Linked DNA regions of Neodiprion lecontei. The protein of the gene in region 4 interacts with the protein of the main gene of each other region in a pairwise test. Links are inferred from orthologs where the notes say so. Each region holds a gene or a part of one and is shown on either strand. Other genes may lie near its edges. The genes, in order: exocyst complex component 2, uncharacterized protein LOC107223499, ralA-binding protein 1 and ras-related protein Ral-a.

Region 1 (7,422 bases), on a different chromosome or scaffold from region 4:
GATCGATTACGCACGCCGAAAAGTCGAGTCACAAAAAAGATATTGGAGATGCTGATACCACTTAACAGGAGTGCCGTTAGTCGCAGAGAATTGACAAAAGCTGTTTTAGTTTCCACAGTCAATGCTTTGAGATTAGGATACCAAAAACTTGGTAGACTAATGGTCGAGGATGGCCAACTACCTGACATGAATTTGATATTCTTTCTTACCCATCAGGAAATTGGTCTGTTATTTATTAGTTCAAATCCAACATTAGTGCAAAAGTGAGTATTTTGCTTATTCATTACTGAGCATAAGGTTAATTTGAAAAACAAAAAATTGTTTTTTAGAGCGATAAGAAGACAAAGACTTTATCCTCACTGTGACAAAATTCAGTTCCCGGAAGTGAATAGAGGTGTATTAAAACCTATACTGGTAAGTGAAAAGTATTTCCTGTATAATATCAGTTCACAACAATTAAGAAAGTGGTATCCTCCAATTTTTTTTTGTAATGTCTAATCTGTACGTATATGGTAATCTTAACACTATTAAATATTTATAAAAATATTTGTTCTATTTAGGCAGAGCCCAGTACAAAAATTCGTGAGGGAGGTGCTCGGGTATCAGGAACACCAGTCGGTGGAGGGACAGTCCTAGGTCGTGCTTGCATTATCACTAATATAAATGATGCTGTACAACTGAAACCTGGTGATATATTAATAACACAGTGCACCGATATTGGTTGGAGTCCCTATTTTCCAATATTGGGTGGTGTGGTCACTGAACTTGGAGGTCTCATTAGTCATGGAGCTGTTGTAGCGAGAGAATATGGTTTACCGTGTATTGTTGGTGCTGAAGGAGCTACACAAAAATTTCGTACAGGTATGTATGAATCAAAACATCTACACAAAAACAAAAAGAGTAGTAGTACACTTATTCAATTCGTAACTATCATTTTTAACAAAACCTGCAATAGCCCTTGTTTTATCCCTGATTTAAACAGATATAAATATGTGAAATAAAGCAAGCTCTACATAAATATAATTTTGTGTTTGTGATGAAAAAAGCATGTTCCAAATTGTTTTCTCTGATATTTATTTGTGTTATTTTTCTTATTTTCGCTATGCAATATTAGTCGTATTTACAATATGTATTTATAACTCTGATCATAGTCAGTTATCGTGATGCTTAGTATTATTCGTAATATCAGGTATAGACACTAAAACAAAACTTTACTGCTTCCTTTTTTTTTTGTAAACTATATTATCCACTCCTATTTACAGGTGATATAGTATTACTAACTGGAACTACCGGAATCTTGCAAGTCGTTGAAGAGACCACGTAAAGATTCATTTTTCGTGAGTGGAAATTGTATGTATGTACATAGTTTTACACCATCCTAATAATCTGCAAGTTTTTCTATGTATGGGAAGCTGTCGCATAGCAAACAAATGTATGTCTAACAGTTCTGTGTCTCTGTATTTTACAAAATATAAATAATTATACTACTATTTCAAACTGTTTGAAGAATCCATGAAATATATTGTGAATCGTGCACAATTTACTCAATAGTAAATCCCACTTGTACTTAATAGCACGTTATTTGTCTTGATAAGAAGGGATTATGCGGAGTCATGTAAGTTGGTAAAAAAATTTGTCAATCATATAAACTGAAGGAAAAGTGGTTACCAAATTTCCAAATGGAAGTTAAACTGTTGTCGCACGATTTGGATCGGATCCCTTCAGAATAATGCCGTCTGCTGAATCGTCAGCAAGACATGCAAGTTGTAGGCGCATGGAGGAAGCTACTTTGCGCAATAGAGCGTCGACTTTTTGCGAGTCCTCTTTACAGACTGGTTCAGAAATCGCATCCAATGCTTCTTCGAAAAAGCTCCTGTAGGAAAAATGTTGTATTTTCATTATGCTTCAGATTTCTACCCAAGCGAATCAGTGCCACAAATTTATTTGAATCTGATACAAATAGGGCTTCGGTTGGGATTCAAAAAAGAAAGACCAAGATTTACCCAGCTCTCGGAGTAATATAAGAGTGGACAGCACTTGTCAGTAACGTAATATCGACTCTAGCTTGAACAGCTCCTGAAGGACTAAAACGAGTTACACAAGACATCAGCCGTGCTAATTCTTCAGCAACTGTTTCAACAATGTGTGATAAAACTCTCTTCAATAAACCTGGTGAAACCCGTCGTACCTGTTTCATGAAATTACAACTATAAAATGAATCCAAATTATCTGTAATTTTAATATTTTCACATGAAAACAACGTAAATACCTCTGCATGAACTGCGATCAGATTAGTCAAAGCCTCTTGTACGTAAGGCCTCACGTGTGAGGGCTCAATGTCCAAATGCCATTCTAGACCACCTAGGTACATACTTGGTTCTATGGTACCGACAAGGGGATCACAGCGTCGTTCCAAATATGCGTCTAATACGGCACTATCCAATGTATCCAATTGAGTCCAATCGGTATTCGAACTCATGGTTAAAGACAAGGGCGGATAACCATGCTGCTTCAGTGCATCATTAACATGTGGTATTATTGTATTCAGAGTATAACGAATGTTACTCAGTGATATTAGTAAACACTGCTCCCATGTCTGTAGGAAGTGTGATAATTCGGTTGGTAGCGTTTATTGAAAACAGTAACTAGCAATGAAAATATTCAAAGTAAATTCTCACTGGCCCTTGTTGCTTGTCTCTAGTTCTATAGCCAACTGGAGAACCAATCAGTTGTGATACTGAGGATTCATCATCGTCCATAGCTTCTTCACTTCCACTGAAAGCCAGCTGTTGTAAGCATTTTGCAAAAGCAGTGAATAGTGTTTTTACTGCATTATGAAACAGAGTTTGATGACTAGTATGCGCTAGCAAAGGGAGTTCTCGAGGTCCACAAGCTATTACTGTTTCTCGAGCGAGTTTTGACACTTCCAGTACCATTTCTTCAAAAAGACCTGGCTATTCAAGGTAAGTCAAACATAAATAAACTGAATATTTCTCTTGAAATATGTAGTGCCGGAGTGTATTACCAGTCGTGTTACTCCTCCGTGTTCATTCAGATATTCAATTTTCCATGTTTCCTTACGATGTAAGGCAGTTATTTTGTCTGCGGTTTGCTTGAACAATGCCACCAAGCACTGTAACCTGAATTGAACGCAAATGTTTTATTATTCACTTTAAATCATATTAATTCACATTTTGAAACTATCAAATACATTAGAATACCTACCTAAGATCAAATAAGTATTTGCCAAATATGTCTAAGGCCTCACTGGGTAAATCCAAATGAATTAAAGACGCATACGTTTGTCGGATACGTCTCAAGTTATGAAGAAGCCAAGATGCATCCAAGTTTGTCCCACAGGCTGTTTTCATTGCATCCACTGCATGTTGCATACTAGATAGAACCAGGCTCTAAAATATCGAAATAGTATATTATGGCACAATTATGTAAAATGTAGGCATGTGTTACATATGATACTTTTTTGACATAGTATATGTAGAATAATTCGATTTTAAGCACTACTATTAGTGCATAAAATGGCACTTTTCGATGCAGTGTGTAAAATCGAATTACATGCATACTATATGAAAAACCTTATATGGAACATTTTTTTTCTCAGCATTAAAATGAAAAAGTATACCAAGTATTAAGGTTTAAATTAGAAAGTCAACAGCATTTCCTGAGTCATTATTTGAATACTCACTTTGAAGGGGATTTGTTTTTCTATATCAACAGTTACGTGTAATTGTCCTGTAAAATAACTCTGTCCTAAGCGCCATAAGTCTGGTAATTGCTCTGTGACTACATCACAAATAGCTTCAACACATAGAACCTGTGGTGGAACATTATTTTCCTCGTTTTGTTGCATTCTCAATTGTTTGACCGAGGTTGGCGTTAAGCCGTTTGACTTTGGGGTTTTACTCGAATCATCACCACCAGCGTTTTCAGATTCTAAATACTCGTTTATACAAGCTGTCACACTTTTTTCTAAATAATGAGCATGTGATGCTGAAATACAAACATACACCATTGCAGTACATCACAAAGAATTTCAACCTGTATAGAATACTAATGTACTTGACTGACCCGTGATGCCCTGGTTCATGAACTTTCCTATTGAAATTTCACATATATTTAATAGTGCATACCTATCGCATCCCATGCTGGATCACCTTCAGCTGCGAGGTTTACTAAATTTCTTATGATCTTTTTCTGCTCATCCAAAGTGACCGGCATTTCTTCTAATTTTTTTCGGAGCACAGTTCTAAGTTTTCCAATTCTAACTTCAATTTCGTTTAATACTTTTTTAAAAACTTCCAACTCAGTATTACCAAATAGATTCTTCACTCTGGCATAATCATTGATTACCAACTCATAATTCCCTCCCTTTATATTCTTTTCAATGTTTACTGGCATACAGAACAAAAATCGGTAGCGTTGCATCAAAGATAAGGCATTCCTTGTCGCATCCGCTTTATCTCTTCGAGCCAAGACATCATGAAATAGTTTGTCAGCTTCAGCCATTGAATCTTTGATAGCTTTTTCAAGTTTCGCTGTTGGATCTTTGCCATTTTTTTGAACATCTGACTCAAACTGTTCCTTCAGTAGCATAATTGTATCTAATTGCTCCATCACCGAACCAACATTCGCCTATAAATAAATAAAAAGATCAACAAATTACTTGTTGGAGAAGAAAATTAAACAAAAGTGTAAATCAGAAGATCGAATGTTGAACGAATCAAAAAGTATCTGTGTGATGTGAAATTGTCCTGTTTCACCTTGAGAAAAGATAATTGGCCCTCTTTCTGTGAGTGAACTTTGCGTCTGAGATAAGCTAATCCTGCTTTAAGATCATCTAGGGTGGTAGCATGATGATGTTGTAATAAAAACCAGCCTGGGTGAAACTTCTCACTGGCCAATTCACCGCTACCATCGCCAAATAGCTCAATTAATTCATCCTCAGGAAATTTCTTACTGAAAACAATATATTCTGATTAGATCTTGCTTCGTTACTATTGCAGTAATCTTGAATGCAGAACATTTCCTAACTCATTTCCTTCGACGCTGAGTCCTAACGGATCCTCTTGCTGATAATTAGTAGGTGACAGAGCTCGTCTTCCCCATACCAAGCTCTGCATTGGTGCTTCTTCAACCCATACAGCAGATTCTTTCATGGGTCCAATGGTTTCGTGATAGCCACGAAATTGGACGGTCGAAGTACCCTGGCCTCCATTTCTTGTTGTGACTATAATATCACCTCGCCCTTTACCTGGTCCAGAGCGGGCGATGATTTTGTTTGGGGACTTCCATTCAGCTGACAAAAGACACTCGCATCCGCAGATGGTCAAACCTGTAATAGGATGATTTTTTGGAAAATGTACAGCATGTGTATACCTGGATTCAATTTTCAATAGTTGACTTTTACAATTAATGCCAATATTTTCAACAGTGACAGTTCAATCTAACCTATCAGGTCCTGCGCTTTTGCTCCTAAAAACTCGCCCCTCAACGTCACTCGCGTTCCTGGTGGTCCTTCCTTCGGCGATATCCCTGTAACTACTGGCGGTGGTCCCATATCTGCATTGAAAATAATTTCAGATGAATCAGACAATTGTCTCCAATCAATTCCTTATTTTGTGCTTATTTTTGTGGTCAAGATCAGGTTTATCTGTCAAACCGCCCCACGATTCCAGAATATGTCAGCTCGGGTTAGATTAGGTTGGTTAAAAGGTTAGACAAGTTGATGTCAGTGTCATGTCAGTGTCAAAGTGGTGTCAAATGTAATCAGAAATCCTCTTTTACCGATTTTAGTTTGAAATCTAGCGAGAGCCAGACGGGAGCATGAGAAGTTCCAGGAAATTCCACCAGGTAGCAGTTAGTAAACTTTCAAGGCTTTCATCACTTGACTTACGATCGTGACAGTCTGACCACGGCTCGTAAGAGGTCGTAAGTCGTAATCTGGTATCTCTGGCACCTGGGTTGATGGTGAGTGTGTGAGTTTACTCCGTAGTGTGAGTGGAACATAAAGAAAATAACACGTCTCGCTTAGAAATATTTTTACGTTATGAAGGTATCGTCGTTTGACTGGAAGAGGTGTGAGATGTTGATTTTGAGTTTCGCATACTATCTGAACAATATGACGTATTCATATTGTCGACAAATGATGTTTTAATTGTTTGTTGAACTATTTTCAATCATTATCGGTGTGTCGCGATCTAAAATCTCTCTAAATTACGGTATGACACTTTTTCTTCAAGCATGCAGCCCCTCGCGAGTCAACAACCCTTAACGTGTATATCACCTCATAGAATAACATACAATTTTACTAAACATATCTTGTAACCTTCAGTACAATTGCTTTCATCGTAGGGTATTCCTTGATGTGTCAATGTTTACAGAGCCAATCTGCTGGGTAATAAAATATGGTAGGTGATGATTCACCGTTCTTAAATCAACTCCACCTTATCATCATCGTTCGTCATAGAGGTTAGTAAAGGATTTATTTTATTCATATGAATAAAATGTGCAAACCTAGTATGCCGAGTTGTGGTCCTCTACCGTTCCTGGGCATAGACACAATACATCGATTAATAAATTTTTGAGCGAAGTATGCTCTTGACCCGTCCATATTAGCGAATGCAAAATATGAGCAGTTATTTTTTTACGTAACACAACTTATGGAGTAGTCCAATTTCTAGATCCTTCCTAATCAAGTGATTGAAATATTTACAGACAACATCGAATTGCTTCTATATTATAAATATCCTGACTGTCTTTGAAAAGATGTCATATTGTCGAATGATTGACAACTAACTTTAACATGCACGCTGTAGCATTAGAGCAAATAATGGGAGACATTGACAACTCAGCTCCTTGCAATGGTACTTCTATCTTAGAAGATGACCTTGCGTTGAGTCCATCGACGTTGGGTAAGTACAAGTACTATTCCAATCACATAAATCTGAGGGATTTTTAGTTCCACTCATTTTGATTTTTTTTTCTCATAAGTCATGAAAATACTGGCCATAACTGTAAGTCCTTAACAAAATTCGGTTTTTTACTCTTTCTCTCATAACGATTGTGCTGATGCCCTCAAAACTACCCTTGAGTGAAAAAATAAGAAATCAAAACAGGTCTAATCTTTATCTTCACCAGAGATCAATAACATATGTGAAGATTTATATAAACAGATAAAAATTTCAAGAACCTGGAAATGTCAAGAGAAATCTCAATTTCAAAAAATCATTTCGAGAATTTCAGAAAACATGCATATAGGTAACTCCGTGACATATAAGGTGTATTTTTAATTCTTAAAAACCTTCAGGAAATGGAATATTAGTCAATTATTTAGTGTCTTTCTACCATATTTATAGCCATCGTAAAACATTGTATTTAAGGATAATAAATAACATAAAAAAAAAA
Region 2 (4,564 bases), on a different chromosome or scaffold from region 4:
AGGCGGGTGCTTATTCATCGCGATGAATTAGAGTACATGTATAAAAAAAGTGTTCCAACGCACGTTGTATTGTACATATATACATACATATATATATAGTATACTCAAGTCACAAATCCGTTCGGAGTCGAGAGCACGAATCGAGGCGTCGTCCTTATATACGGAGGGAGGTCCAGTATGGAGAAATAAAAGAGATTTTATTGCGAGCGGCGAAATGCAGCAGAGCTGAGATGAGATGATTTGAGAGATGACGGGGGAATAGTGGAGTACGTAGTGGGATTGATGAACGAAGCGCGTTGCCCCGAGTTAGGACTCGACTACTCGTATAACTGCGGCAGGTTCGTATCATTGTACGTACGTAAGTTCAACGGTCTGTTGCCGTCGCGTCGAGACTAATCGGTGATCCGTGATCGAACGTGCGTTTGAAATTCCAATTTATCGATGGCACAATTTTATTTTTCTAATTACGTTGGGGGAGGGGCGGAGGTCGAGGGTTTAAGTTTGAATCCAGAATTTCGAAAAGATTCTGCGATAGCTTCGGCCGCCATTTTTAATTTATGGAAGAATTTGTTTTTGTCGAATAACTGATCACCGATTTTAATCACCGTTTATTTTCATTAAAAATGACAATAAATAAACTTGAAAGAAATTTAATTTTATACATCACAATTTGGTAAAAATTTTTGGTCACGTTGGATATTTACAGATTTGAACTGTAAATTCAAGATGGCGGCTGAAGCTACGGCACGCAGAATTCGGTCGAAGTTCTAGATTTTGACCATCGCCCCGAGCGATTGGAAAAAATAGCATATTCTGTAAAAAAGAGACAAACACGGTCTTTTCGGGGCGAGCCTAAGTTTGCAATATAAGTCGTAGATGAAGAAACACGCGAGGCGAAAAGACCGTTGCCTCCTTGTTCCACGCGATTCTTTACATAGCAAAAGTGTGTAACGCGTTTTTCTACGAAGCACGAAAATTCAAGTTAGGTTCGCGCAACGTCAGATTTTTCAGCGTCGGCGCACGCGCGGAGTACAATAAAAGACCACTTTTCAACTCCTCCGCGCATGCGCGTTCGCAAACTGACTCTTCCGTCGTAGAACCGGGTATTTCGCGTACTCAAAACACGGATGGAAAAACGCTCAAAGCATGTTCTCGTTTGTATAACCCCGATTTATACGAACGCTGGAAAACTGGTTAGAGAAAATCTTGCAGTAATATGATTTCAGGGAGCACAACAGTTCAGTTTCAGCGTGTCTCGATGAGTCGTTCGTGAACGGCAACGGATTCTCGGTCCGTCCCGTTTCGTCTTTCCTTCATCTTCTTCTTCCTCATCTTCGTCTCCTTCTCAACGTCATTAAAAGTTTCGATATCGTCGTCGATTTTAAACCGTGAGACGGATGGATGCAAAGCATCGGCATCGTCAGCAGCAGCAGCAGCAGCAGCAGCAGCAGCAGCGGCAACTCCTCGCATGCATCGTAGGTTACATACGTGCGTCTCCACTAAGCTTATATATAGGTATATGATACGGAGAATCGAGGAGGACTGTTTCGTCTGTTTCTCTGCCGCTTTAGTCCGTGTCGCGACCTCGCGCCGAGGGGATGTCGTTCTTCCTCGAGCGTTCATCGCACGCCGTTTGCCTCCACGATACGTACTCTTTACGTCCTTCTTTCTTTATTTTTACACGCGTGCACGGTATTACAACAGTGGACTCGTCGTTGCGTATCCCTTGTACTTGAACCACGGCTACTTTGTCGCATCTAGTCCATCCTCGAGTTTTCTCTCTTAATTTTCTTCCTTGCGTATCATCGTCAGAAATGAAGAATTTTTTTTCATCTCTTCAAACAAACGAGTAAATAATAATATACATACTTCGTAGAGAAAACAGAGAAGAGAAATAATAACTAAATTAATCAATATTCTGTACAGTTCGTTCGTTGATTTTCAAACAGTTGTTTCAAAAAACCGAATAATTCACGATTCTTGTAATACTGCAAGTGATGATTATAAATAACAACAGTGACAATATTGTTCGTTTTCTTTCCTCCACCGCCACCACCTCCTCCTCCTTTTCCCTCTTAATCGTTATCGGTGATCAGTGATTGAGTACAATGCATAATATATAATATATAACATCCTCGTATCGTATAATTTCGTAATCCTTGTGAAAACCGCAGTGATTGCAAGTTCGTTCAAAGTTGCAAGTAGGTATATACCTACACGCATCTGCGTTGTAAATTTATCATCAATATCCCGATATCAACCGACCACATATTCCATGAAAAAACGACACCAGGCGTATCCCGCGTCCACGTTTGCTTGTAAAAAATCATCGTTACACAAATACGCACCGTGAAAAGATATTGAAATCGATAAATCAACCGGCTGGATAATTAAATAATAATGGGAAGCGAGGCTGTCAAAAGTGGAAACGTCCGATCGAGTACCGTCGTTGATTCAGATGGATCCGATACATGGGAAGATTTTTTCGGTAAGTTCCGCGTGTCTCGTTATTGTAATAAATAAAACCGCATCGATCTTTCATGATCTATTCTTCCTCCTCGTTCAAACAGAATTATCGAATTCTGTTACGTTACATATTTTTCTCTACGATAATATCTCCAATATCCTTCTCAATCGCCACGTTTTTCAAATTTCTATCATGTCGAAGTTAGTAACGTTACCGCAACCGATTCGTGCTGAGATTAAAAACCGTTATTATCTCGCGATTTTGGAACTATTTGAAATCGAGTAAACCGCGAAAAAAAAAACAAAACATACCGATTAATATTTTTCCATCTCAATTCTTTCATAAATTATTGTAAAAATAAGAAAATAGTCATGTTTTCCACCATGTTTCTAACTTCAACCTTGTGAATTTCTTCACTTCCACTTGTATATAATAATGTATATAGGTATATATATATACATATACATCGATACAACACAGGATTAATTCTTTTATCTTCCTTTCCTTATTCGTCACACATTTTCGCGCCAATGAATCGCGATTATCAATAACGTAGGTATATGTTATACACACGGATAGACCTGAGACAGTACAACGTTTTGTGTGAAATAACACGCCTCTAAAGAATTCCTTGTTTCATTGACATTCGTATTCCCATTATTACGTACATAATAACAAATGTGATCCAATACCGCGAAAAATATATTGTTAATCATCCATGTACAACATATACACGCGCGTATGAAATATCTTTGCGAAAAGATGTGACAACAGTATGGAAAGAAATTCTTGGAAAAACGCCCCGCCGCATTGTATCGTAGTAGACGATAATATTGTCTATTATGTTGCACGTACGTTTTTACACCTACAAGCGTACACGCCTTGAATCTCGTCTCTTTCCTCGCCTTTCCACCCTGTGCCTGGTGGTTATATATTTTCACGATTCAAGCTTTTCTCCTTCGACGCACGTGCGTGCGCGCAGCCTGATTTTAATGCCGACAAGCATCGGCGTTGCGTGCACTGGCAACGCATTGGCTGATTCTTAAATTCCGCAAATCGGTACACCATGCGCATATGGACCGATCCCTTTATTCGTATGTGTGGCAAATCGGGTTGCGGCCTGTACAATTAATTGTGCACGAGACGACGAAAGAAGAAACGAAGAGAATTTATTCACGGTGATACGATACGTTTTTTTCTTCTTTTTTTTCTTCGTTACTAAAATAAAGAAGAAAATTTCTAGCGAAAAGTTGGGCAAAAATATGTCACGTAGAGTGAATTTCTAACGACCGAATGGTCTGACGCGCGTGCGCAAAAATTCGCGCAGCAAGAGGAGCTGTTGTTTTATCAGGATGAGCAACGTTCGCAAGATTTGTCCGTAGACTCGCCGCGACGTAAATAACCTAAAAAATGTTGTTGGCCCTGACAAACGAAAAGCTGTACCGTCGCTTTCGAATTTTAGCGCGTTCGCGTTAAAACCATCCAGTCGTTAGCGAATCACTCTCTCTGTACGCGTATGTACACATACTTGTGTTACAAAACGAAAGAAATATCAGGCACGGAAGAAAAAAAAAAAAAAATAAATAAACAAACAAGGTAAACAAACAAAATTCCTTTGTAAAAACGCTTGGTTGCATTAAACAATAATAACAAAATCGACGCTGCAGGTAAAACGACAAGAAAAAATAAATATACGTATACCTTATACTATAGTTCAGAAATCTGAGGAGCTTCAAATGCGCAGAATAAACGTTTCAACAAGCGGCACGTTTATGATACGCAATGAATTTTTAAATACACGTACAATTGTACAGACTTGCAATTTTATTCGTCGTTTATCGTTTCTTTCCTCCCTCCCTTTTTTTTTTTTTTTTGTTTTTTCTTTTTTCTCCCCTGTGTATTCGTTTCGAGAAAATCGTTCGATTATTTACTTCAACGTTAGAGAGTGACTAGATAACCAGAGTAAATAATCTGAGCTATACCACGTGCACCTTATAGGTAGGTAGGTTGGTCGGTTGTATATCCACCCTGTAGTTCTACAATATGGAAATGTCACTCGCCCACGCGTTGAACCGGAATAAAATAAAGGATAACAAA
Region 3 (4,690 bases), on a different chromosome or scaffold from region 4:
TTATAGGGGTCGATCGTTGCGCAGAACGATCCCCCTCTCTAGTTTTTTGGTCGCCTTTGCGCACCTCCCCTCTTTTCTAGGAATTCTAATTAGGGCACGACATCTTCGCCGCATGCACGCCTGTGATCTTATTTCTTTAGCTATTACTATATTGTAGGTTTTTACGTATGGTATATCGCTGCTTGGTGCGGTGGTGTAGGTGCGTGGACTTGGTTCCGTAGTTCTCCGAACTGCGTGAGCTTTTCGTTGTGTCGCCAGCCCCCTTTGTGGCGCCAGCCCCCTTTGTGGCGCCAGCCCCTTTGTGGCGCCCGTCAGCCACTTAACTACCTGTCTACCTCTGAATGTTTTTGCTATCTTGCTCGTTACAAAGCCCATATTTCATTTTGGTTACCTGTCGTTTGTTAGTTTTATAGTTATATCTATATAGAATTGTATATGTATTATAGTCGACTACTGTCGTTGTTAGTTTTATAGTTGTATCTATATAGAATTGCATATGTATTAAAGTCGACTACTGTCGTTGTTAATCTGGAGTACAATAGCAATTGTTTATGAACATAGTTTGTTATTTGTTTAGCATTATTAGAATCACGCTGCTGCGAATATCTTTAGTTGTTTGTGTTATAACTATCTTAACAGATTTAGGGTACTTAGTAATTTGATGATTCATAGCTTTAGAGCAGGTTTACATGTGTGCTTTTGTATATGATTCCCTTCTGTAGTTGTTAATTCTTATATTGATATAAATCGGCTTGGAAGCTTCTAGAACGTTTTCGTTTCGTCGGTAAGTTTCCTAATGTATTCTCTAGGTAAGGCTCTGTATGGCTCCACATTGGAGATCTGCATTGCCTTCAAAACGTTGCGCGTGTTGCCTACAATACGGCGTTGCGGAAGAAGGTATAGTTCATGCTGGGTAATTAGCATTCACGGTTTGATGGTTTTGCAGTCTCTGGTTTTATGGGTTATTGCAGCAGTGCTATCTTTACATTATATTGGTTATGCATTTATCTATGGTTTTACAGTCTTCTATACTCCAGGCTATATAGTAAAGCGTATGTTGCTTAAGTATAGCTCTCAGCTCCGAATGCACAAATGGCATTGCTGAGTGCTATATAATAATTGGGTATAATTGTGTTAGTTAATTATAGTGTTAATGTGATAGTGATATATAATAACGTATAATAATATTATAGTTCTCTGTAGTACGAAGATCTCGTAACATGGTTTGTAAGCCTTGGCTAGTGAATTTCATAGTTATTTCCATCTAGGGGTATTCCAAATAGTTAGACAGTTGTTTTAATTTCTTATGGTTACAAGATTCTCGTACTTAGAGTTTGGTTAGTTGATAAAAGTAACATGCAGTAATAATAATCGATAAAACATACGGACGTTCCGGTCGGACGTTACACACTCCTCAGCAATCCCTAGTACACTACCCTAGTTCTTTTTACACTCGCGAGTGTAGAGTATAGCTAGCACGAACAAACCTAGGCCGTGTTCGTAAATTGACTGCCAGTACTAAAAATTCCCTAGGAAAGAGACAGAGCTGTCCATGAACTCGGCAGCGCAAATGAGATAAAAGATTGCCGACAGTGGTGTCAGTCAATTTTCGAACACGGCCAAAGTGTAACGAAAGTCTAGTGACATTTGTAAAACAAACAGCGCCATCCGACGTCACGTCCGCTAAAACGAACGCGCAAGTGTACACCCCCACGAAAGTGTAGAAAGTGTAGCTAGCACGAACAAACCTACTACCAAATAGGGCCTCTAAATTGGAATTGTCCGACCTTTATACGAGGCCCTAGTCGGTAACTTGCCATCCAATTTTCCTGACACACCATCTCCCATAAGGCCAGCGCCCTTTAGTAGAGTATGAACTGCATCTTCACGTTGACTGACCAACGGTCTTCATTGTAGATTCACTGTTCACCGACCAAACCTGACCAAACTGACTATGTTGCATCCGTCAATCAATGTCAAGCTACTGTCAAACAAGTGAAAACCTACAATCATTTTGAAGGAAAAGACGGAACAAAGAACTGTCGAATATTGCGACATGCCTGGAGGTTGCAGATTTCTCAAACAGTCAACACGTTTACAAGAAAAGTCATAATTGTATAAAGATGGATTTCGAAAGCCCTGATGTTGAAAAAGATTTTCCTGGCTTGTACGCTTCGGAATCCGGGAGAAAGAGCAATGAAAGCGACTGTAAGATATTAATGATTCTTCATCCTAGGAGCACGGGCTCATTTTTTGCTTGCAGAAATCGCACACGCATATTCACACGCGCGCGCGCGCGATAGTATTACATTCCTCCTGTGGAAACTATGTTCCTATTTCGGCATAAATCTCCCAATTTTCTCGAGAGTTGAATAAATCTTCATCGAGTTATATAACTTGTAACGGACATATACATGTAGGCCAAACTTCTGTGTAGAGCTACACAAGGTTCACGAGACTTGCGTGTAGTTCTAAGTATTGAAGCGTAGCATTTTTAATGACACCTGTAGTGTCTGACATTCGACTTGAAATTTATAGTTTTAAAAATCAAACAAACCACTAGTTCAAACAATATTTATGTTGGAAAGTTAGTGACGATGGACACGATAGGCCGTCTAAGAAGGAACTTCTCATTGGCAAACGTAAGGACAAAAAAGACAAAAAGGATCGTGGATATGCTACGCTAGAGGGTGAAAGCTCCCCAGAAGAAGACATCGAAACTAAGTATTGTAATACTTATGCCTTTATAGTAATAATGCCTTTCATGCAGAAATTATATTCATTTTTTTAGTATATCATGGAAAAAATAGAAGACAACATCTATCAGATGTTATCTCTAATTATGATACTTTCTCAATCAGATATCTCAGTTTATTGAATTGTTGCCTGCTATTCAACACATATTTGTCCACGGAATTAATTTCAATAATTATCATTCAAATCGCTGAATGATGTACATTTGCGAAGATGTATTGAAGGCAACAAAAGTGTCTTATATAATACTAATATGGATTACGCGTCTTTTTTTTACGTCTTTTCCGGATGTAAAGCAATCACTTTTACGACAGTATAAATAAAGAGCATCGAAGTATGTAAAAGTACACAAAAACATCCTAGTATTTCAAAGTGCTCTTTTTCGTACTTGGTTAAAAATAAAAATTGTGAGCCACACTTCTATTACGTAAAGTATTATGTGCACCATGGAGGGAAATTATATTTTGACTCACGTATTTGCAATATTTGTCTTCGGCTTGCGTAAACATGCTCACTTACATCTCATATTGCAAACTTGTGCTTGGCGTGAAAAGATCTACTTTGCTTCTTTGGTGCACAACCTACTATTACAATTACTGATTTCTGTTTTGCTTGAAATCTTCCGTAATTCCTCATAATCGCTTTTAGTGAATTTTTTCTATCACGCTAAACCTTGTAAGGGTGCTCACTATTACATATTCTTAATCAACATTAGCATGGTAGATCTAATTACGTTTGCAGCCCATTAGCTGTTGCCTGTCGATTGGCTGAGATTCTGAAATTAATAGCTTCTGTCATCACTCAGAGATGCATGGCCCTCATATTTTCTTTACGTAAATACTATTCCCAGCTACTCTGTTTTTGCTTGAAAAAAATAAGAGTGCTTAACGAATATGTCTATCAACTGCTTTGTTTCTAGTTGCGGTGACTTAATTTTGTTGATTATACTTGCTCTAATTTACTTAACAAACCTATATTTTGTGATAAAAGTTTTTATTTACTACGTACAAGAGACAAGCAATTAATTTCTTACCTAATAACATTTCCACATGTTATTTAGCTATGCACACTCACTCAAGACAGTTCTTGTAGGTTTAGATATGAAATTAGTATCTTATATGGTTGAGACTATTACAAATGAGTTAACGGCTTCTGCGTATCGCATCTATTGACTTGCGATATATTTACAAAATAGATGTAAAAGGGACTTATAAATCCCCATCCTACACAAACGTTTTTGAATTTATATGTATATATATCTAACGAAAGATAAATGTGTTTGGCCATCTTTTCATATTGTACGCATTGTACTTCTTAATGTATACATTTCTTAGGAGTCCATCGAAGTCAAAAAAGTCTAAAACATTCAAGTTCCCATCTAAGAAGGAAAAGCGAGAGAAATCCAGAGAAAAAGATGGTAAGGAAAAGGAAACAGATAAAGAGAGAGAGAGGAAAAAAAAAGACAAAGACGACAAGGATACGGACAAAGAGAAACGTAAAGATAAAGATAAGGAGAAATCTAAACAAAAGTTGAAGGATCGCAAAAAAGGAAAACATTGGGAAGAAACTGTTGATATTGGTGGTAAGACAACTGCAGAGAATACTGAAGCCCTGTGATTGGGGTGATATACCAATAAAAAATTAATCAATCTTTATTGATCAACATGTTTCAGAAGAACAACCAATCTTTGGCGTTGCTCTTCAAATGGCTGTGGAAAGAGGCCGTTGTCATGACGGAGTGGAGCTTCCATTGGTTGTAAGAAATTGCATTGATTACATTGAAGAATATGGCAAGTCAATAGCATCAATAATTATATCTTTGAATATTTAGTGACAACTGGCTAGACGGCCAGGCTCATGTACTTCATCTTGATGGTCAATTTGTGTGGAAGTGCTTTTGCAGTATAAAAATATCAAGGTCTAGAAGAGGCATTTA
Region 4 (6,238 bases):
GTTAATATCGGTTTTTCAAAGTAACGAGTGTCCCATATAAGAATTTGATTTTCAATATGGGAAACTAAGTGATAATTGTTATGAGGATCTACTGACAAACTGTACACTGCTTTTGTTGGCGTTGAGTTCACTACCTTCACACAATCTAAACAGATGATTAATACAAAAAGATGTTTGAATCAACACAAATAAAAGGCAGAAGTTCCAATTATCCTTCATTGGCAATAAATTAATTAATAACCACCAGTACCATAATGTCTTACCTCGAAAATCAATAATCTTTAAATGTTTGTTATTGATTCCAACAACCAAACATCTTGGTTCGTTAAGGAACCAAGCGAGGGAATGTGCTGTTTCAGAGACTCCAGCCTCTGCTATAGGTCTGACAGATTCTGCCTGCATGTTACTGTGGTGATGCGATCCAGTTGGACTTTTCAGGACATCCCATAATAAAACGGAAGAATCCGTTCTGTGCTTATCCAAGCCACAAATTATTAAATTTGGGTCTACCGGATTCCATGCAACCGTATTGCATTGCCTTGCATGCCTCGGAGCTAGCAAAGTGATCACGGATATGATTAGAAGAAAAAAGCAAGCTAAAATATTATACCGTATAACTTAAAAAGAGAAGAAAATGAATACAACTTCCAGAACAATTATTGGTGAATTTCATTTACCAAGTTCCTTGCCAGTAAGTCCAAGAGAGTCGAATGCCGTTGGGCCAAAAGTAGTTAGTACAACTTTACCATTCGCTTGCCCAACTGCCAATAGAATGTCAGGCTCAGGTTGGGTGTAAATATCAATGCATTTAACATAGTGATGGTTTGTGTTCGTTGCCAATAAATGGGCGACTGTAGAGTCAGAGATCTTAATACCTGCAAATAATTCTTTTGTTAATAAAATATAAACACCCAACAAAGCGATATTCAAGAAATAACAACAATACGTGTTTTGTAATAGGCTTTGGGTCTCTACTCACAAGAAGGCCTGACACTATCTTTGATTTGGGTAACTTCGTATAAACATATTTCGGTGCCCCAAGTAATGAATTTATTTGGGTGTATCGATGACCACTGAACTTCTAACTTAACGCTACTCATTGTCAAATAATATTGTAGGTTAATTTAAAATCCGTGTACTACCAGGTCGTGTTGTTTACATTAGTAAAATATGTTTCTCCGATAATTAATGATGTAAAAACTAAACCTCTATCACCGGCGGAACATTTGTTTTCCGACAGTAAATTGTGGCGGCTATTGCACGTCCAAAATTGGTTCCATTATACGTTTGAACAATCCGATAAATAGCGTAAAAAAACAATCACAGTGAATCTACCGATTTCGGGACAACATAGCCTCAACGCAATTTGTTGCGCCGTATTTGTCCATTAGCGCATCCAAATAGCGATCTGCGCGTGCGCGAAACTATTTCGCAAGCGAAAAGTCGTTTTCGAAAAGTGATAATTCTGCTAGTGAAGAGCGGTGAAGAAAATTTGAATCAAATATTTTACTTCACCACAACATCTGAAAGTAGTTAACTGTGAGCATATTCTGTGGGATAATCAATAGCTTTGAATTTTGGGAAAGCACCGAAACTGAGTCGGTGACAGATCGAGTGACAGAAGCAGACGACTTTCAACACTCAGCAGCGCCATGTGTTGGCGCTTTAACGGCTCGATAAAGAACCAGCGCGTGACGGATCACGGATGCGAGCGTTCGATACGTCGGGCTTTGCGATTGACCGATTTTTGAAGGTAATTAATCATTTTTCTGTTGTTATTTTTGCAATCATACCCCCAAGAGATTCGCCGATTAAACCTGCATCCGTAAAATAACGGTACACTTTCATAAATTGGAAACATTGCCATATATGAAACACGAATATTGACTTCCTCTGGTAACTAGCACCCGACAGCGCGGCAACGCCTTTTGGTTATTCATCCTACGAATACGCCCTTAATCTTGATGTTTTATTGTGAGATCGAAGTAATTTCCAAGTCTGTACTAATTGGTGTTAAATGCGTAATAATGGTTTCAACAAATTTGATGCAGTAACTATTTTCAAACAACAATGTCACATTGTTACAACTAAACCTCATTACAATGTTTCATTTTTCCGTCAAGATTAAAGTCGATTAGATACGCGTATCAACAATGTATTATTTGTAAACTTTCTAATAGATGACCATTATTTAACAGTATGTCGTAATATCGTAGTTGTGGTTTGATTGTTTTTACATATATTCATAGTTAAATATTACACAATTGACAGCGATAAAATTGGTAAAATTTCCATTTACATCTCAGAGGAGAAGACAGGAAAATTTTCAGTGTCCTAATTAATCAACATTAAGAAAATTCCCATATTTTACATAAATGTAAAGTCTTTATTTATTAGTAGAAAAATTATCAAACACAACAACAATAATGAGTGTTGAGTGCATGCGAGAAACGTAAACATTTGTTCACCTTACTCCCATGGTTCCCATGCTGACAATAGGATTTCCATATCTTTCAGATCTCTATTATAGTAATGGAGGCGTAGTTCATGTAGCTTATAAAGTATTGAGTTTTTTCCTCCAGATAATGAGAAATTCTGTTCTACATGCGCGTAATCAATCAACAATTACATATTATTAAATGTGCAAATTTCAGTCATTTACATTCTGATATTAATATTTCAGATATAAATTCCACATACAAAAATGTCTAAAAAACCAGGCGCCACACAGGCCCTTCATAAGGTCATAATGGTAGGTAGCGGAGGTGTTGGAAAGTCCGCCCTGACTCTACAGTTCATGTACGACGAGGTATGTGGGTGATTTCTTCAGCCCCTTATCAGGCTATCATTCAAACTTTAATTAGATTTGAAGAAGTACAAGGTTCAGTTGATTTCAGTCATTTGGAACGAATGTATAACACTGTGTAATGTAAATAGGTTACTATTCAACTTAACAATCGAAAGAAACTGTTTTGTATCGATTTTTATAATGCCAAACATGAATACGTTGGCGGGAACTTTATCTGAAATGACATTTTTGAGAGTGTTGGTCAGCATAGAGTAACAAACACTTCGTTGCAGTCCTTTTCTGAATAACATGATAGTAGTACCAATCATGATAAGAAAACTTTCCATCCAGCAATGAACCCCAGCTTTCTGACGGCTGGGAAATAGTTTGGAATATTTTAAAGTAACAATCAAGTAGCTGTGGATATTGTTTACTTGATCTTTTAGGGTATAAATTTTGTTTTCACTTTCACTTTCCCATAATTTTGTGTTAAGAAAGGCCAAAAAAGGGTTGATAAATTTCTTTTAGACCTTATGATCCAATTTCCTCAAAATCATTGTGTGATTGTCAGTTGCTAATAACGAAGTTGAAACATAATCTATTTTTGTTATAGACTGCAAGTAATCAATAGTTTCACAGCACAAATGATCCTATCTTGTTGCACAATATAATTGTGGAACTCTTTATTTTGCATTTTTAGTCATTCATATCTACAACCATGTGTCATTTTAGTTTGTTGAAGATTACGAGCCAACAAAGGCTGATTCGTACAGGAAGACTGTTGTATTGGATGCGGAGGAAGTACAAATAGATATTTTAGACACAGCAGGTCAAGAAGATTATGCAGCTATTAGAGATAATTATTTCCGCAGTGGTGAAGGCTTTCTTTGCGTATTTTCTATAACAGAAGATGATAGTTTTCAGGCCACTCAGGAGTTTAGGTAAGAGTAAAAATATTAATATAACTCCTTAGTTGTGTTATTCAATATCAAGGAAAGGAAAATTTTCATCATATTTCTAAACAGTTAGAGTATAAATATATGGTTGATCGTAAGCTCGAAGGCAGCTGTCTCCTCGCTGTTGCTTGCCTCTTGACCCTTGTTTCTACATTTATGCCTTTCGAAATATTATTAGGGTATCTAATATCGTATGAAGACTCACTCTTGCTATCTCTATTATTATTCTGTTACTGCATGCAGCAGTGTCTTATCAAGTTAGAATAGAAAAAAAATTTGGTGTCAGATTACAACTGATTGATATTCAATGAACAATTTCCTCAACAGGGAACAAATTCTGAGAGTAAAAAATGACGATCACATTCCCTTTCTGCTGGTGGGAAACAAAAGCGATCTTCAAGAAAAACGAAAAGTCAATCTAGCCGAGGCACAAGCTAGATCGCAACAGTGGGGTGTTCCCTATGTTGAGACTAGTGCAAAAACAAGAGAAAACGTTGACAAGGTATGCTATAAACTTTTCCTGGTCAAGATATTGAGCTCTCGTAGCAAAATTTATGCGTAACCAACATACTTTATTCTTTTGGTCAGTTCTGTCAAGTAACTGGTAAAAATAATTTTTTTTTTTTTTTTTTTTAACATATAAAAGTGTAAACACAATTGCTGCAGATACTGCTTTCAGTGCCCTATTTATAGAACTAAGGCTTAAATTTGTATATGTTCACATTTTGCTGCGCACTCTTATTGTCAGCCAAGCAAATTTGTTTATATAAAATTTGCATGAATTTTGTGGCTTAATCATCTGCACTAAATAGATATGGACACGTTTGGTGGCATTTATATCAATGTAATCTAAATGTGTTCTACACGATTTGCAAACTTGAGAACTCTAGTATTCAAGTTTTCAGAAAGTTTTTTATTTGTGTTTTCATACAAAAGTCACAAACCAAATATCTACATCAATGAAACACTTCAGCAAAGTTATTGTTTAAATTGTATGACTGCATCTGCTTCATGCTTACAAGTCTTGAGACAGAGTATCTCTTGCGCATTTTCAGGTATTTTTCGACCTAATGCGCGAGATAAGGTCTCGCAAGATCGAAGATAAATCTGCAAGTAATGGCCGTGGAAAGGATCGTGCCAAGAGAAAGAAAAAGATGTGCATTATTCTATAGGTTGGCAATCTCCTCTCGCACTTTTATTCTCCTCATATGGTATTTTCATACTATAAACAGTGCATCAGTCTTCCCCTCTGCATAAACTTACCTACTCACAACTAAAATCTATTGGTACATGTATCGCAATCCAACTACAGCATACATGCTTATTTATTTTGGAAACGTTTTTTGAAACTTTCAAAAACTTACTATATAATATGATATAAAAGTTCAACATAATATTTCTGTAATGGTTCATACGCATAAAAATTTTGATGTTACCTTGTTGCGATGCCATATTGCTTACTTCCGTTTTTTTATTGAATTCAGCTCAACGTATCTTTCCATGTACTGATGCAAATGTAATAGTCTATTATTTAATGTCTGTAGCTGATTTGTAAATTTCTTTTACCTTTGTTAAATTTTTATTTAGTTTTGCTTAAAATTAATGTTCAAAAAGTACAGCTTTTGTAAATGGAATGCTTCTTAATGTTAGAAAGTTGAATTTAATAGCTGCTTAACTTTGATCCAAAGTGATAATATTATTTATTTACATGTGTCAAACTTTAATTCAAGCAACATAATTCTTAAATTTACCAACTTATCTGCCAGACAGAAATATCACCTGACTTTCAAATAATTCTTACCATTTAAATTACTTAAAACTTGTCTACACAATACCATTTTTGTTTGGTAGTTTATAAAATTGAAAGAATGATAATTCCAGGTATTCTTTGACCTAATGCGAGCAATAGCTGCACGCAAGGCTCAAGAAAATCAGGGTGAGGGGGGTGAACGGAAGAAGAAACCAAGTTGCTGCATATTACTTTAACATATTCAAAAACGATCATAATTTGAAATCATTGCTGCGTATCTCTTAGCGAGGTATAATAATATAAATAGCTCCTTTGTTCCATGGCATGAAGATATTTCACATTTCTTCAAAAAGGGATAATAATCATTTGGCCCTGACATCTGCTTATACCATTTCAAATGAATATTTGATGCAATTCGTGCAGCTGTAATTTTTACACTCATTAGTGGCTGTAATGTTTTCAACAATACATGATAAATGCCCAGTCGTAACAAACTAATTTAAATGTACACCTATATGTATATGCACAAGAAATGTGCAATGCTTGTGCCCTCTATTCTGATGAATTTGGTACAAAGTAATTTGCAATTATAGGAACCTCACACTATTTCCACTGCTCATATTTGAACATGCAAATATTTTTGCATCATTTTTGTACATGTGTAATACCTACTCGTCATTTGATTCCATTGCATCGTCATTATACTCGACTGGCAAGTTGCAAATTATGTCATTTGTATATCTA

The links.
Region 1: the proteins of ras-related protein Ral-a (region 4) and exocyst complex component 2 interact in a two-hybrid assay, tested with the Drosophila melanogaster proteins (2 studies listed by BioGRID). The link is inferred for Neodiprion lecontei from reciprocal best matches to the Drosophila melanogaster genes Rala and Sec5.
Region 2: the proteins of ras-related protein Ral-a (region 4) and uncharacterized protein LOC107223499 interact in a two-hybrid assay, tested with the Drosophila melanogaster proteins (2 studies listed by BioGRID). The link is inferred for Neodiprion lecontei from reciprocal best matches to the Drosophila melanogaster genes Rala and GEFmeso.
Region 3: the proteins of ras-related protein Ral-a (region 4) and ralA-binding protein 1 interact in a two-hybrid assay, tested with the Drosophila melanogaster proteins (6 studies listed by BioGRID). The link is inferred for Neodiprion lecontei from reciprocal best matches to the Drosophila melanogaster genes Rala and Rlip.

Annotation. Positions count from the first base shown.
Region 1 is NC_060260.1:36,127,297-36,134,718, forward strand, and holds exocyst complex component 2, read right to left. Parts: upstream 5,787-7,422; 5' UTR 5,576-5,786; coding exon 5,467-5,575; intron 5,351-5,466; coding exon 5,050-5,350; intron 4,975-5,049; coding exon 4,779-4,974; intron 4,651-4,778; coding exon 4,149-4,650; intron 4,009-4,148; coding exon 3,704-4,008; intron 3,411-3,703; coding exon 3,226-3,410; intron 3,141-3,225; coding exon 3,026-3,140; intron 2,955-3,025; coding exon 2,679-2,954; intron 2,597-2,678; coding exon 2,270-2,596; intron 2,208-2,269; coding exon of another isoform or gene 2,202-2,207; exon of another isoform or gene 2,189-2,201; coding exon 2,004-2,188; intron 1,874-2,003; coding exon 1,687-1,873; 3' UTR 1,669-1,686; exon of another isoform or gene 1,325-1,668; coding exon of another isoform or gene 1,263-1,324; exon of another isoform or gene 1,148-1,262; intron 862-1,147; coding exon of another isoform or gene 561-861; 3' UTR 533-560; downstream 1-532. Other genes in the region: uncharacterized protein LOC107225708, read left to right, coding at 1-263, 330-414, 561-861, 1,263-1,324; uncharacterized protein LOC107225718, read left to right, coding at 6,821-6,929. UniProt on the Drosophila melanogaster protein: Component of the exocyst complex involved in the docking of exocytic vesicles with fusion sites on the plasma membrane.
Region 2 is NC_060266.1:23,906,906-23,911,469, forward strand, and holds the start of uncharacterized protein LOC107223499, read left to right. Parts: upstream 1-1,562; 5' UTR 1,563-2,400; coding exon 2,401-2,488; intron 2,489-4,564.
Region 3 is NC_060265.1:31,648,948-31,653,637, reverse strand, and holds the start of ralA-binding protein 1, read left to right. Parts: upstream 1-1,689; 5' UTR 1,690-1,808; exon of another isoform or gene 1,809-1,917; 5' UTR 1,918-2,123; coding exon 2,124-2,208; intron 2,209-2,588; coding exon 2,589-2,724; intron 2,725-4,088; coding exon 4,089-4,336; intron 4,337-4,427; coding exon 4,428-4,544; intron 4,545-4,690. UniProt on the Drosophila melanogaster protein: Participates in receptor endocytosis during interphase, is also involved in mitotic processes when endocytosis is switched off.
Region 4 is NC_060261.1:40,157,491-40,163,728, reverse strand, and holds ras-related protein Ral-a, read left to right. Parts: upstream 1-1,613; 5' UTR 1,614-1,753; intron 1,754-1,874; exon of another isoform or gene 1,875-1,896; intron 1,897-1,900; exon of another isoform or gene 1,901-1,985; intron 1,986-2,683; 5' UTR 2,684-2,704; coding exon 2,705-2,809; intron 2,810-3,520; coding exon 3,521-3,729; intron 3,730-4,071; coding exon 4,072-4,246; intron 4,247-4,799; coding exon 4,800-4,916; 3' UTR 4,917-5,625; coding exon of another isoform or gene 5,626-5,730; 3' UTR 5,731-5,736; downstream 5,737-6,238. Other genes in the region: GATOR complex protein MIOS, read right to left, coding at 1-145, 264-554, 678-875, 980-1,100.